Linked DNA regions of Anolis sagrei. The protein of the gene in region 2 purifies or fractionates together with the protein of the main gene of each other region. This does not show direct contact. Links are inferred from orthologs where the notes say so. Each region holds a gene or a part of one and is shown on either strand. Other genes may lie near its edges.

The links.
Region 1: the proteins of ATR (region 2) and TOPBP1 purify together in Homo sapiens (affinity purification with western blotting; 8 studies listed by BioGRID). This does not show direct contact. The link is inferred for Anolis sagrei from reciprocal best matches to the Homo sapiens genes ATR and TOPBP1.

The regions. Positions count from the first base shown.
Region 1 is NC_090026.1:78,152,758-78,160,105, forward strand, and holds the start of TOPBP1 (DNA topoisomerase 2-binding protein 1), read left to right. Parts: upstream 1-3,128; 5' UTR 3,129-3,230; intron 3,231-4,394; 5' UTR 4,395-4,398; coding exon 4,399-4,482; intron 4,483-7,050; coding exon 7,051-7,185; intron 7,186-7,348. UniProt on the Homo sapiens protein: Scaffold protein that acts as a key protein-protein adapter in DNA replication and DNA repair. Composed of multiple BRCT domains, which specifically recognize and bind phosphorylated proteins, bringing proteins together into functional combinations.
Region 2 is NC_090023.1:237,161,676-237,169,023, reverse strand, and holds the start of ATR (serine/threonine-protein kinase ATR), read left to right. Parts: upstream 1-2,334; 5' UTR 2,335-2,623; coding exon 2,624-2,682; intron 2,683-5,286; coding exon 5,287-5,378; intron 5,379-6,724; coding exon 6,725-6,874; intron 6,875-7,348. UniProt on the Homo sapiens protein: Serine/threonine protein kinase which activates checkpoint signaling upon genotoxic stresses such as ionizing radiation (IR), ultraviolet light (UV), or DNA replication stalling, thereby acting as a DNA damage sensor.

The DNA.
Region 1 (7,348 bases), on a different chromosome or scaffold from region 2:
ATAAACTTATTATTTCAATGGGAAGTGTGGGTCTGCTTTTGTTGTTGTTGTGTGCTTTCAAGTCATTTCATACTTAGGTTGACCCTGAGTGAGGGCCGGGTAAATGACCTTTGAGGGCCGTATCCGGCCCCCGGGCCTTAGTTTGAGGTCCCCTGGTTTAATGTTTGTCTATCTTCTAATGAAGCCTGCATCTCTGAATATTTATGACTGAATGGTAAGAGTTATATAACTCCTCCTGAATGTGATGAAGTGTCGGGAGCTGAATAGATCACCTACCAACTATGAAAGCAACTCGGAACATTCATTTGTTCTCTATCAGCTTCTGGTGGGGATTTGGAAAATTACATCGAATGCGCACAGATGAAAATCAAATAGAGACCTGATATTTCGGAAGAGAAACTTTCCCCACAAATTTGGTTTTGCATCTCATAGCTATTTCAAAAATTGTTCCCTCTACAGAACAAACAGGAACTATATTGCAGACTGGATTTGTGAAAGGAGGGAGAACAAAAACAGCATTAACTCACTTTCTAGTTTTCCTGTTAGGAAATTTAAGTGCTATACGATTTTTGCTTCATAGATTTGATGAAACTGGTCATTGAATAGATTCTATAGAGGAGATTAAGTATGCCAGATTGCACGGGTATCAGGAACCTCTGTGTGATAAGTGGTTTAGAGTTGGGAATCTATACAAATAAAAATGTAATGTTCGTTTGTGGGATTAACATAATTCAAAAACCACTGGACGAATTGACACCAAATTTGGACAACATATACCTAACAACCCAATGTATGTCCTTCACTCAAATATTTTTTGATTTTGTCTTTTGGGAGTTGTAGTTGCTGGGATTTATAGTTCACCTACAATCAAAGAGTATTCTGAATTCCACCTATGATGGAATTGAACCAAACATGATGCACGGGACTCCCATGACCAACAGAAAACACTAGAAGGGTTTGGTGGGCATTGCCCTTGAGTTTGGGAGTTGTAGTTCACCTACATCCAGAGAGCACTTTGGGCTCAAACAAGGATGGATCTGGACCAAACTTGGCACGGATATTCCATATGACCAAATACGAACACAGATGGAGTTTGGGGGAAATAAACCCTGACATTTGGGAGTTGTAGTTACTGGGATTTATAGTTCACCTACAATCAAAGAGCATGCTGAAGCCCACCAAGGACAGAATTGGGCCAAACCTCCCACACAGAACCTCCATGAGCAACAGAAAATACTTATGGCCATCCAGTCCAACTCCCTTCACCAGGGCAAGAAAACATAATCAAAGCCCTCCTGACAAAGAGCCATCCAGCCATAGATATAGATAGATATATATGATTCACGGAGCCCCCGGTTGCGCAGTGGGTTAAAGCACTGAGCTGCTGAGCTTGTTGATCGAAAGGTCGCAGGTTCGATTCCGGGGAGCGGCGTGAGCTTCCGCTGTCAGCCCTAGCTTCTGCCAACCTAGCAGTTCAAAAACATGCAAATGTGAGTAGATCAATAGGTACCACTCCGGCGGGAAGGTAACGGCGCTCCATGCAGTCATGCCGGCCACATGACCTTGGAGGTGTCTATGGACAATGCCGGCTCTTCAGCTTAGAAATGGAGATGAGCACCACACCCCAGAGTCAGACATGACTGGACTTAATGGCAGGGGACTACCTTTACCTTTTTATATGATTCACACACAGAGAGATATATAGTATCCTAGATTTGAAAGGGACCCTTAAAGAAGGACAATGATATTTTGCATGTTCCAGAGTGGGCAAACCAGACACTCTCCACATCAACACTGACAAAGAAACAGCAAGAAGTGCTGTTTACCCACAAGCATAAAATCTATTTTATTAGCATAGTACAATATCAGTATTAATTATTACTATATTGTATTAAACCATTACATTGTAACATTATTATTAATATTACATGTAATACAAATATATATTTATAATATCATATTATTAGTAGTGTTATATTGCATTACATTATAATATTATAGATATTATATGTATATATACGATATATTATTTTATATTATATTATATTATTAACATAGCACAGGAGACAAGGTGAATCTATATTAAACTACATTTATTTATTTGTCATGTCAGGGCAACCAGTCAATTATATTACATTTCTAACAGAACAAAGCAAACAAACAGGCAAAATACAAAATTTGTGAGTTTGGTAGTTGATTAAATGTCCTTTGACCAGTATCTGGCCACTTGGAGTGCTTCTGGTGTTGCTGCAAGGAGGTCATCCATTGTGCATGTGGCAGGGCTCAGGGTGCATTGCAGCAGGTGGTCAGTGGTTTGCTCTTCTCCACACTCGCATGTCGTGGATTCCACTTTGTGGCCCCATTTCTTGAGGTTGGCTCTGCATCTTGTGGTGCCAGAGTGTAGTCTGTTCAGCCCCTTCCAAGTCGCCCAGTCCTCTGTGTGCCCAGGGGGGAGTCTCTCATTTGGTATCAGCCATTGATTGAGGTTCTGGGTTTGAGCCTGCCACTTTTGGACTCTTGCTTACTGAGGTGTTCCAGCAAGTGTTTCTTCAGTGGTTCTCAACCTGTGGGTCCCCAGGTGTTTTGGCCTACAACTCCCAGAAATCTCAGTCAGTTTACCAGTTGTTAGGATCTCTGGGAGTTGAAGGCCAAAACATCTGGGGACCCACAGGTTGAAAACCACTGCTGTAGATCTTAGAAAACTATGTCTAGATTTAAGTCGTTGACGTGCTGGCTGATACTCAAACAGGGGATGAGCTGGAGATGTCTCTGCCTTGGTCCTTTCACTACATTATATGAGTCTACACTGACCATCCAACGCGGTTTCACACTGCACTGTTTGGCAGTGTTGATAGCACCAGGATTTCCTCTCTGAAACTTCCCCAAAGGAAGCGACACCCTCTCTTTGGCAAGCTACTTTTCACAATACCGGTGGTCGCACAAGCGCCGGAAGAAAACTCAAACAACAAAACCACCCTATCCCTTCGCCCACAAACAATATTTAAAGGGGCCACGCTTACTATCCTTCTCAACCAATCGCCTCTGCCTTTCCGTACCTTGCCCCTTTAAGGGAAACTTTGCCATGTTTGTAGGCCGGCGACGTCACGAGCCGTCCCTGGCGCATGCGCCCTCCGTCCAGGAGTCTTTTCCCGCCAGCCTTTGGAAGAAGAGAGTTGTTGGTGAGAAGGGGAGAGGGGGTCGCTTCCTCAGGCCGAGGACGTGCTGCTGAGGTAATCCCGGAGGAAGGCAAGGGGAACCTGTATCCTTCCTCGCTCTCTCTCTCTCTTTGGGCCCAGAAATGAGAGGGGCCTCCTCCGCCTGAGAAATACTACAGCTCCTCAGGGGCCTCAGCCAGGAAGACCTCCAACTTTTACCTATTACAGGAAAACCAGCTGATTCCTAATCCATCTAAATAGGCCTGGGCAAACTTTGGCCCTCTGGGTGTTTTGGACTTCAACTCCCAGCATTCCTAACAGCCTCAGGCCCCTTCCCTTTTCCCCCTCAGCTGCTTAAGCCATAACATTTATAGCTGTACATTTCTTATGAAACTGACAGCTGAGCTCCACAAAATTTGTTCCTATTTAATAGCCTGAGATAGTTATTTTAGTTTCATTTTCCCTTAGATCAGTGGTTCTCAACCTTCCTAATGGCGTGACCCCTTAATACAGTCCCCCATGTTGTGGTGACCCCCAACCATAATATTGTTTTCATTGCTACTTCATAACAGTCATTTTACTACTGTTACAAATCATAATGTAAATATCTGATATGCAGGATGCATTTTCATTCACTGGACCAAACTGGGCACAAATACCCAATACACCCAAATGTGAATGCTAGTGGGGTTGGGCGAGGATTGATTTTGTAATTTGGGAGTTGTAGTTGATCTTCTGAAGAGGCCCTGCTCTTGGTCCCGCCTTCCTCACAGATCCAGTTGGCGGGAACAAGAGACAGGGCCTTCTCAGCGGTGGCTCCTCGGCTATGGAACACCCTTCCTAGGGATATTAGATTGGCCCTCTCCCTCCTGACATTTCGAAAAAGAGAAAACCTGCCTATTCGAGCAGGCATTTGCAGACGCAGTATAACTCTTTGATTGATACTCATGGAATGACAAGACGATGTGACGGAAAATGATTTTAATGAGACGCTGAGAATTGTATTTTATGGTGTTAATTGTTTATTGTTTTTACATGGCTATTTTATATGTAATTGTTTTTGAATGTATTTTATCTTGTGGGGCATTGATTGCCAAAAGTAAACCTCCTCGAGTCATCTTTGGGCTGAGAGGGGCAGTATACAAATATAGTAAATAAATAAATACACAAATAGGCTTTTTGTTAATGTTTCCTTTGCCTATATAATGTTACATCTTCTCTTTCTTCTTTCCTCATTAGTTAAATGATGAAAAATAACAAGGAACCATATCTTGTGAAGTTCATCAAGTCTCCAGAGAACTCAGATTTTTTCCTTCAGGCCCTTGAAGTAAGATAATTTTTACATATGTGAGGCGCTCTCTGAAAATAAGACTGAGCCATGTTTGGATGCAGCAAAAATGCCTGATGACTTTTCCTGTTGAAGTTTTTATCTTACAGAAGGCAAAAATATTGTGGCTTTCAGCAGATTTTCCAAAATGAATGCAGAAAAGTTCTCCCTGTCTCCTTCCTCTTTCTTAGCTTCTCTCATGCTGTAGGATGGGTGCAAAGCGAGCAATGGGAGGTATTGGCATTTTAGTTCAGCCAAAACCTATATACTCCTGTGTCATATAGGATTGTGATAATTTAATGAAAATAGCCCAGGGTGCACCTGCTATTTTAAAAATAATAATATTCTATGTGGGGACTAGGACATTAGGCAGTAAATAAAATGTCCAATAAAATGTCTGTAAATAAAATGTCCAATGTCCACTGTGTGTGAGTGGTTTGGGAACTTAAAAGAAAGTACTTCATCTCACAATGTATAGTTAAACTTTTAACTACATTACTAATGAGGATAGCTATACATTCTAGCACCAACAACAGTATACCTCAGTATATCAGTAGCTGAGGAGCATAAACATATGGGTGCATTTTGATTTATGTCCTGTTTGCTGCCTTCTGTGGGCAGTTTGATTAGTCATTGCATGAACAGAATGATAGACTAGATAAATACTTGGCTCTGATCCATCATTGCTCTTATCTAATATGGCTTTTCTTCCATTCTTAACCTTTTCCCTCAGAAGTGCTGGAAAAGTCAATTGAGGCCAACTGTCAGTAGTAGGCAGGCTAGAGCCAACGATGGGCCAAGATTTATGGTCTTGGTACTTATGACTTCCGTGGATTGTGTGGCTCTCTCTTTCCTTGTATCACCCATTTTTCATCTGCTTGTGCACAAATGAAATGGAGGAGTTGTTGATTCCCAGCATTGAGATCTGGGGAGCAGAAGTGGTCCTAAAATATCCAAAGACTTGTGAAGCTGGGGGCTTCATAAATTGACTGCATGGAAGGGTGTTGTAGGCGCAGCCATTGAAGGAGAAAATGTGCCTAATTTTAGATTCAAGGAATGGAGTACAGCAATGTAAATGAGAGCAATTTAAATGACAGTGGTGGAGATATGTAAACATTTAATTTGAGCAGTCTGGCAGCAGAGCAAACATATTCCTTACCATCAGCATTGAAGTGATTTCTTTTTTGTCTTGTCAGGAGCGACTTGAGAAACTGCAAGTCATTTCTGGTGTGAGAGAATTGGCCGTCTGCAAGGACGTTGCCCAGGGGATGCCCGGATGATTTGATGTTTTTATCATCCTTGTGGGAGGCTTCTCTCATGTCCCCGCATGAGGAGCTGGAGTTGATAGAGGGAGCTCATCCGCCTCTCCCCGGATTTGAACCTGCGACCTGTCAGTCTTCAGTCCTGCCGGCACAGGGGTTTAACCCACTGCGCCACAGGGGGCTCATTGAAGTGATGATCATCAACCATTAATTTTGCTAGGCTGGCCATATTGTCTGAATGCCCAATCACTATCTCTCAAAGCAATTACTTTACTCTCAGCTCAAGAGTGAAAAACAGAATGTTGGTGGACAGCAAAAGAGATTTAAAGATGGGTTTAAAGCTCATCTAAAATGTGGAATAAACACTGAGAACTAGGCATTCCTGCCCTCAAGCATTCTAACTGGAGATCAGCTGTTAGCACCAGTGCTATGGATTTGAAAGAGGCACAAATAATCAGCGAAAGGGAGAAACGTGCCAAGAGGAAGGTGCATCAAGGAAACCCTTGTTATGACTGCCTTCCACCTAGAAATGTATGTTCTCACTGTTAAAGACCATAGGGATCCAGAGTAGGTCTCTACAGTTACTTATGGACTCTGCCAAAACTACCCTTGAAAGACAATCATACCCATAAGTGATAGCCTATGATTATAATGACCAGAGCAAATATATACCTTACTATTTATATCAGTTTTGGAGATCTACCTAGCAACGACACAGCAAATTATGATGATATTGAAGATATATTTGCTAATCATGAAATGTCAGTCATTAAGTTGTAATATAAAACCAACAAGCAAGCAGCAGTCAAAATTATTAATGTTAAACTTCTTTCTTACATTGTTATTAATAAAAGAGCCATTTAGCCAATGGTAGGATCAATAGGCTCTGCTAATCTTCATCTGACTTTTAAAAAAAATCCTAATAATTCAATAGTTTCAATTATTTCTTCGTTTCAGAACATTTTTTTCTTTAGCATGGGACCATTTTTCTTTGACCCTATGGTCAACCTCTGGCCTTTCATTTACTATATATATCTGTGGTAAGTTCCATAGATTTCAGTGGAGTTTAGATAAGTTTTGAAACAAATATACATGGTACCAAACTGAGTAGAAGTTTTGAATTTCCTTGCCTTTTTGCTGTTTGAATTCTTCTTACTGTATAGGAACTTTAGCTAAAATAACTTCAGTTATGTATCATTTTTGCATTTGTATTGTTGGAAGCATTCAAAATAACTGAATTAGAAATCTGATTTTTTTTTTTTGCCAATTCAGAGAATATGTTCTGTTGCTTCTGTTTATTTCACAGTCTATTAAAGAATTTCAGTCAGAAGAGTATCTCCAAATTCTTGAAAATGAAGCTGCACTGAGAATACAGGAGAATGACAAATCCCTTTATATATGTGATCCATTCAGTGGCACCGTTTTTAATCACCTTCAAAAGGTTTGCATTTTATTTTTGTACTTGGTTATGCTGGTATGATATCTTGATAAAGGGCCTTTGATCTGAAAACTGAAAACAAGAACGAAAAGCTGTTCAGGGAATCAATGTATGGGCTAATAAAAATGTTATGGGGTAGAGTTATAGATGGAGTTGGATTCCAGTT
Region 2 (7,348 bases):
GTGGAAGGGCCTTAAGGCCTTTTCCATACAGCTGAATAAAATCCAACATTATCTGTTTTGAACTGGAATATATGATAGTGTGGACTCAGATAACCCAGTTGAAAGCAGATATGGTGAGATTTTCTGCCTTGGTATTCTGTGTTACATAGCTGAGTGGAAAGGCCCTCAGTCCACTTCGCCATATATCTCCATCCGTGGTCATCTCGATCTACCCAGGAAAATCTCCTATACATACTGGGCCCTAGGGAAGTACACCTGGAAGCTACAAGGCGTAGAGCTTTTTCGAACTATGCTCCAATTCTGTGGAACTCATTGCCTCCATACATTAGAGCAATGTCGGAGTTGCGACCTTTTGTAAAGGCGCTCAAGACTTGGCTGTTTGGTTGTGCATTTAAGTAATCAGATCTAATTTGCCAAATAGTCACTGTTGAATGTTTTTATGTTGAATGTTTTTATATTGTGTAAATGCTATTTTAGATTGTAAGTCGCTCGGAGCACCTTGGTGGAGAGCGACTAATTAAGAAATAAAGTGAAGTGAAGTGAAGTGAAGTGAAGTTCAAAGCAGATATTATGGGATTTCCTTCCTTGATATTCTAGATTATATGGCTGTGTGTTAAAATTGCTGGAAGAAACATTAACAACCTTAGATATGCAAATGATACCACTTTGATGGCCAAAAGTGAGGAGAAACTGAGGAGCTTTCTAATCAAGGTGAAAGAAGAAAGTGCAAAAGCTGAGTTGCAGTTAAATATATAGGAAAACAAGATTATGGCAACAAGAATGATTGATAACTGGCAAATAGAGGGAGAAAACGTGGAGGCCGTGACAGACTTTGTATTTCTAGGTGCAAAGATTACTGCAGATGCACACTGTGGCCAGGAAATCAGAAGACGCTTACTTCTTGGGAGGAGAGCAATGTCCAATCTCGATAAAATAGTAAAGAGTAGAGACATCACACTGGCAACAAAGATCCACCTAGTCAAAGCCATGGTATTCCCTGTAGTAACCTACGGATGTGAGAGCTGGACCTTAGGGAAGGCTGAGCGAAGGAAGATAGATGCTTTGAACTGTGGTGCTGGAGGAAAGTTCTGAGAGTGCCTTGGACTGCGAAAAGATCAAACTAGTCCATACTTCAGGAAATAAAGCCCGACTGCGCATTGGAGGGAAGGATAGTAGAGGCAAAGATGAAATACTCTGACCACATTATGAGAAGAAAGGAAAGCTTAGAGAAGACAATGATGCTGGGGAAAATGGAAGGAAAAAGGAAGAGGGGCCGACTAAGGACAAGACGGAGCGATCATATCTAGAAGTGACTGGATTGACCTTGAAGAAGCTGGGGGTGGTGACGGCCAACAGGGAACTCTGGTGCGGGCTGGTTCATGAGGTCACAAAGAGTCGAAAGCAACTGAACGAATAAACAACAGTGGCTGTGTGGAAGGGCCCTGAGTCCACACTGCCATATATCTCAGTTCGAAGCAGATATTGTGGGATTTCCTTCCTTGATTTTCTGGATATTTTTTTGTCGTGTCAGGAGTGACTTGAGAAACTGCAAGTCGTTTCTGGTGTGAGAGAATTGGCCGTCTGCAAGGATGTTGCACAGGGGACGCCCAGATGATTTGATGTTTTTATCATCCTTGTGAGAGGCTTCTCTCATGTCCCCGCATGAGGAGATGGAGCTGATAGAGGGAGCTCATCCACCTCTCCCCAGATTCGAACCTGCGACCTGTCGGTCTTCAGTCCTGCCAGCACAGGGGTTTTACCCACTGCGCCACCGGGTGCTTTGGTGCTATATTCTGGATTATACGGCTGTGTGGAAAGGCTCTGAGTCCACACTGCCATATATCTCAGTTCGAAGCAGATATTGTGGGATTTCCTTCCTTGATATTCTGGATTATGTGGTTGTGTGGAAAGGCCCTGAGTCCACACTGCCATATATCTCAGTTCAAAGCAGATACTATGGGATTTCCTGCCTTGATATTCTGGATTGTGTGGCTGTGTGGAAAGGTCCTGAGTCCACACTGCCATATATCTCAGTTCAAAGTAGATATGGGATTTCCTGCCTTGATATTCTGTTTATATGGCTGTTTGGAAGGGTCCTGGATTCAATAGCACCTAAACTGCAGAACAGAGGGACACTGTTATAGCTCTATGTTCTACTGTAGTTGCCACGGCAACATTCTGTGGCATTCTGGGTTTGGTAGTTCAGTGAGACCCGAAACCTCTTTGGCTGAGCGGGCTAACTATCCCTCGCTTAAACTCAAAATCCCAGCGTCCCACGCGGTGTTGCCATGGCGATGAAAGCGGAAACTAGTCCTGTCACAGCTTAAAGGGATAGAAGAGGACCTGCAATTGAATATGTTGTTACAATTTAGTCAATGAGTGAGATAACGCGATAGTTGAAACAGAACTTCCTCTATTAATATTAATTTAAAAGAAGGCGGCATCGTGTTTTCATAGCAATCTCTTTTGAAATTGGTCGTGAGAGAGAGAGAAAGAGAGAGGGAGGGGGAAGGGCAAAACGCCTTTGTGGGAAGTTTGGCGCCTGTCAGCTCCCGTCCAGAGGGCGGCTTCCCTGCCTAGAAGAGGAAAAGGAGGCGGGAAACGGCACTGAGTCGAAGTGAGGATGGGCGACCAGGGGCTGGAGATGGCCTCCGTGATTCCTGCCCTCCGGGAACTGGGCAGGTAAGCCCCAAACCCTCCAAAACCACCCAAAGAACAGTAGCAACAGTTGCACCTTTGCTGTTGGGTGGTTCAGGGTACACAGTGTGGAAAAATAGAACATTATATGTGACACAGCTGTGGAGGCTTTTAAACAGAGGCTGGATGACCATCTGTCGGGGGTGCTTTGAATACAGTTTTCCTGCTTCTTGGCAGGAGGTTGGACGGGATGGCCCATGAGGTCTCTTCCAACTTTATGATTCTATGGTTTTTGTTCCTGGGTTATAAATGTAATTTCCTAATTCCTAATCAGGAAAACATGGGGAAGCTGCTTAAAATGCAAAAACCATCTCTTTATCTATATAAATAAAAATGTAATGTTGCTTTGTGGGATTAACATAACTCAAAAACCACTGGACGAATTGCTGCCAAATTTGGCCACAAGACACCTACTAACCCAAGGAGTGAGCAACACTAAAAAAATTGATTTTGTCATTTGGGAGTTGTAATTGCTGGGATTTATAGTTCACCTACAATCAAAGAGCATTCCGAACTCCACCAATGATGGAATTGAACCAAACAAGGCATAGAGGACTCCCATAACCATCAGAAAACACTAGAAGGGTTTGTGGGCATTGACCTTGAGTTTGGGAGTTGTAGTTCACCTACATCCAGAGAGCACTGTGGACTAAAACAATGAAGGATCTGGACCAAACTTGGCACGGATATTCCATGTGCCCAAGTAGGAACACAGATGGAGTTTGGGAGAAATAGACTGTGACATTTGGGAGTTGTAGTTACTGGGATTTATAGTTCACCTACAATCAAAGCATTTTGAACCCCACCAACGATAGAATTGGGCCAAACTTACCTCACAGAATCCCCATGACCAACAGAAAATATTTAAGGCCATTCAGTCCAACTCCCTTCACCAGAGCAAGAAAACGTTTTCAAAGCCCTCCTGACAAAGAGCCATCTAGCCATAGATATAGATAGATAGATATGATTCACACACATATAGTATCATAGATTTCAAAGAGACTCCTAAAAAAGGAAAATTATATGTTGTATGATCCAGAGTAGGCAAAACAGACAATCTCCACATCAACACTGACAAAGAAACAGCAAGAAATACTGTTTACCCACAAGTATAAAAAATTACATATATTAGAAACCAACACTTCCTCATTACTTTATTATCCAGATCACCAGACTGAGCCACAGCAACGCATGACAGGGAATGGCTAGTTTACTATATTTATCTACCGCCCCTCTCAGGGAAGTTTACAATCAGCATCAAAAACATAAAATACGATTTAATCAATTAGCTTAAATATAAAACCAAATAAAACAGTCAATGTCAACAAAAACATATATCAATTAGAGTCTCCTTGTTTTTGCGGGACATACTGCAGCACATCTTGCTAGAGTTTTTAAAATGAATATCTCATAGAGTCTCAACCAATGCAACATAGTTTGTGGCAGCCACAAAAATGAAGTTTCTGGAGTATAGCGACAACTTTCAACAGGCGTGGGCAAACTTGGGTCCTCCAAGTTTGTTGACCTTCAACTCCCACAATTCCTAACAGCCTCAGACCCCTTCCTTTCTCCCTCAACTGCTTAATTAAGGAATTGTGGGAGTTGAAGTCCAAAACACCTGGAGGGCCCAAGTTTGCCCATGCCTGACTTTCAAAGTAAGTAGCACACAATTAAACAAGAAATAATGCTTTTAAACCAGAAACTGATTTTTTTTCTATTTTGTTACATAGTGTTGTTATTGTTTATTTATACCCCACTTTTTCTCTCCGCAAAAGAGACTCCCCTTAGCTCAGTATTGGGGTCACGATTTCTAGATGCCACTTAGATATGTACACAAATCTGTTTGCGACAACATATGGTGTTTTACTGTGTAGAAAATGCTTCAGCCTTGCTTCACGAAAAAGGAAAATTTGTCTCCTTAGCAAGCCTTGCAAATCCTGTAAATGTTCGGTATTTATGCTTGTTTTACATACTTGAGGGTATGTTGTTGCTGCTTTTATTTGTATCCTGCTTATCTCACTAAAAAAGAGACCCAAAGTGTCTAACATTAAACGCAATACAATGTATAATTTAAAACATAGAAAGCATACAAACATTAAAATACAATTAAACATTGTAACTATTAAAATAGTTAAAACCATTAGAACCTATTCACATAATATTTCCATTTGGCTATTTGAGGGAAAAGGCAGTTGGAAGCATAGCTGAAGTGGCATTCCCATCTGTAAGAAAGGTTTCTAAGCAAGACGCACAACAACAGTATTAAAACAATTATGCATAACCTACAGATGAAAAGTTGCTTCATAATGTGCTGCTATCTGTTAGCCAGTATATGTGCATGGTTGTGATTGATGAAAATCAAATTGTAAAGCTGCAAACGATGAAATGTAAATGGTCATTTACAAATTAATGCTGATGACATAGACATCCCCACTGCATTACTGGTAATGTAGTGGGGATGTGAAGTGAAACCCATAGTTTTAATTAAAGCCACAATTGATGGAAATGAATGGCTAGATAACTTGTGACATTCAGAGTAACATATGAAAGTAGAGAGACAATGCTAATTGTTAAATACATTAATTCCAGTGCCACCCCAGAGGAATACAATACTGTTGTGCAGAAACCAAGACAAATTCTCTGTCAGTTCATTGATCGAATTCTAGTGGATGTAGATGTTGGTAAGTAAAACAAAACTGTTAAAGAGGCTAGATTTTGAAAAGTTACTTTGTTGTACAGTGTCCAGTGTATAAATTTTGACAAGGTAGCAAATTCTAAATCCTAGGCAATATAGAATATCTAAAAAGTTTATTGAAAAGTAATAATGTGATGGGGAAAGTAAAAGCAAAGATACTTGGGAGGAGAATAGAGGCAGATTTCACCCAGTGCAGGAATCATTCATCTCTTAGAGGTTCTTGGGCTGCAATTCTCAGTTTTTCCTATCATCAGCTATGATGATTAGACCTACTTTGCTGATTAGAACTGCTGGGATTTGCAATCAAGTAACATCTGGAAGACCATCCTGTTCTAGTATGAAAAAAAACCCCAGATTCTGCTGGGTATTATAAATAGTAATATACCAAAAATATCCTTGTCTGGATATTTCGGTCTTTTTCACTGATTACCAAGTAGATGAGACTTTCAAAGGGGAACAGATGCATAGGTCTGCTTTTAAGTCTGTCACCAGTAGTTTGATTCAGGGAAATGCTATCTTAGCACACAATATATATTAAGAGGCATGTTTTCACAAAATGGTATGTATGTATGTGTGATATCAATTTGTTAAAATTTTCCCCAAAATAACACTTCTGGCTTCAGAAGCAACAGATGACACCATTGTTTTTAACAGCAATTTGTGAAGTTAGTCTGTTCGGCCATAACAACAGAGTAGTGAGCATACTTTGGATGCATCTACTCTATAGAATTAATAAATGTTGATAAAACTTTAACAGCCATGGCTCAATACTATAGAATCTTGGATATTGTAGTTTGGTGAGGGACCAGCCCTCTTTGTGAGAGCAGGCCTTGTAAAATTACATCTTCCAGGATCCTAAAGCATTGAGCCATGGCATTTAAAATGGTATCAAATTGCATTGATTCCAAAGTATAGATGCACCCTTTACCTCAGCATCAGAAAGATTTATTCTAGTATCAGCTTTTGTCATTTAGTATCTATTTCAGACGTATGGAGTAAAGGTTCAAGCCGCACACACACACTGGCACACAAAGTATGTCCTTGGCAAGAGAGGAATCAGCAAAATTGGATGTGAACTATCCCAACAGTATTCAAGCATTCTGGCAATAAATTAAAGTAAATGATAGATGATAAGCATGTGTTAATTTACGTATATCTCTGCTAGGCGATTTATTACCTCTTGTGTGGAAAAACATGGTGTTTAACATGTATGAAAAGTGTGAATTTCATTTTCATTGTTTTGCACTTTTACTGAAGAAATGATAGATTTATTTTGAAAAGGAGAATAATATGTGAAATTAGCATAAAGAAACGTGACTGTTTATTTTTCAGTTGCTCTAGAACTTGCTAAGAAAACTGACTCACAGCCAAGTTCTGTAATGTTGCTTGATTTTATACTGCATATTATGAAATCATCCCCGCTTGTATTTGTAAATGTGACTGGAACTTATCAGCAAAATGAAGCAGAAGCCAGCTGCATTGGTGAGTTCATTCAAATATATCTTTGGTATTTTTTTAAATCGGCAAACCAAAAATGATGTTGTAGTAATTTTATAATGGAATAGATTTATGGATTAAAGGAGGTAATAGTGTAATTGATACAGAGAAAGAAAACTAGTGCTACTACTTTAGATTAATGAAGTTTTATTACTGCTCCAGGGAATAGAATACAAAACAGTGGATTCAAATTATAAGAAAAGAGATTCTGTCTGAAATTATAAAGATGTTATTATTATCATCATCATCATCATCAGAGCCATTGGACAGTGCCATAGATGGTCTTGGAGGGTGGCAGACTTGTCTATCTTTGGACATCTTTGAACATGAGTTGAATGGGTGTTTTCAGGGTATTTTAGTTCTGTATTCTTATATGACAAGGATAATGGACAAGATTGCCCTTGCAGCCCCTTCCAATTATTTGGTTTTGTAGTTTGATATCTAAAGGCCTGGGTCACC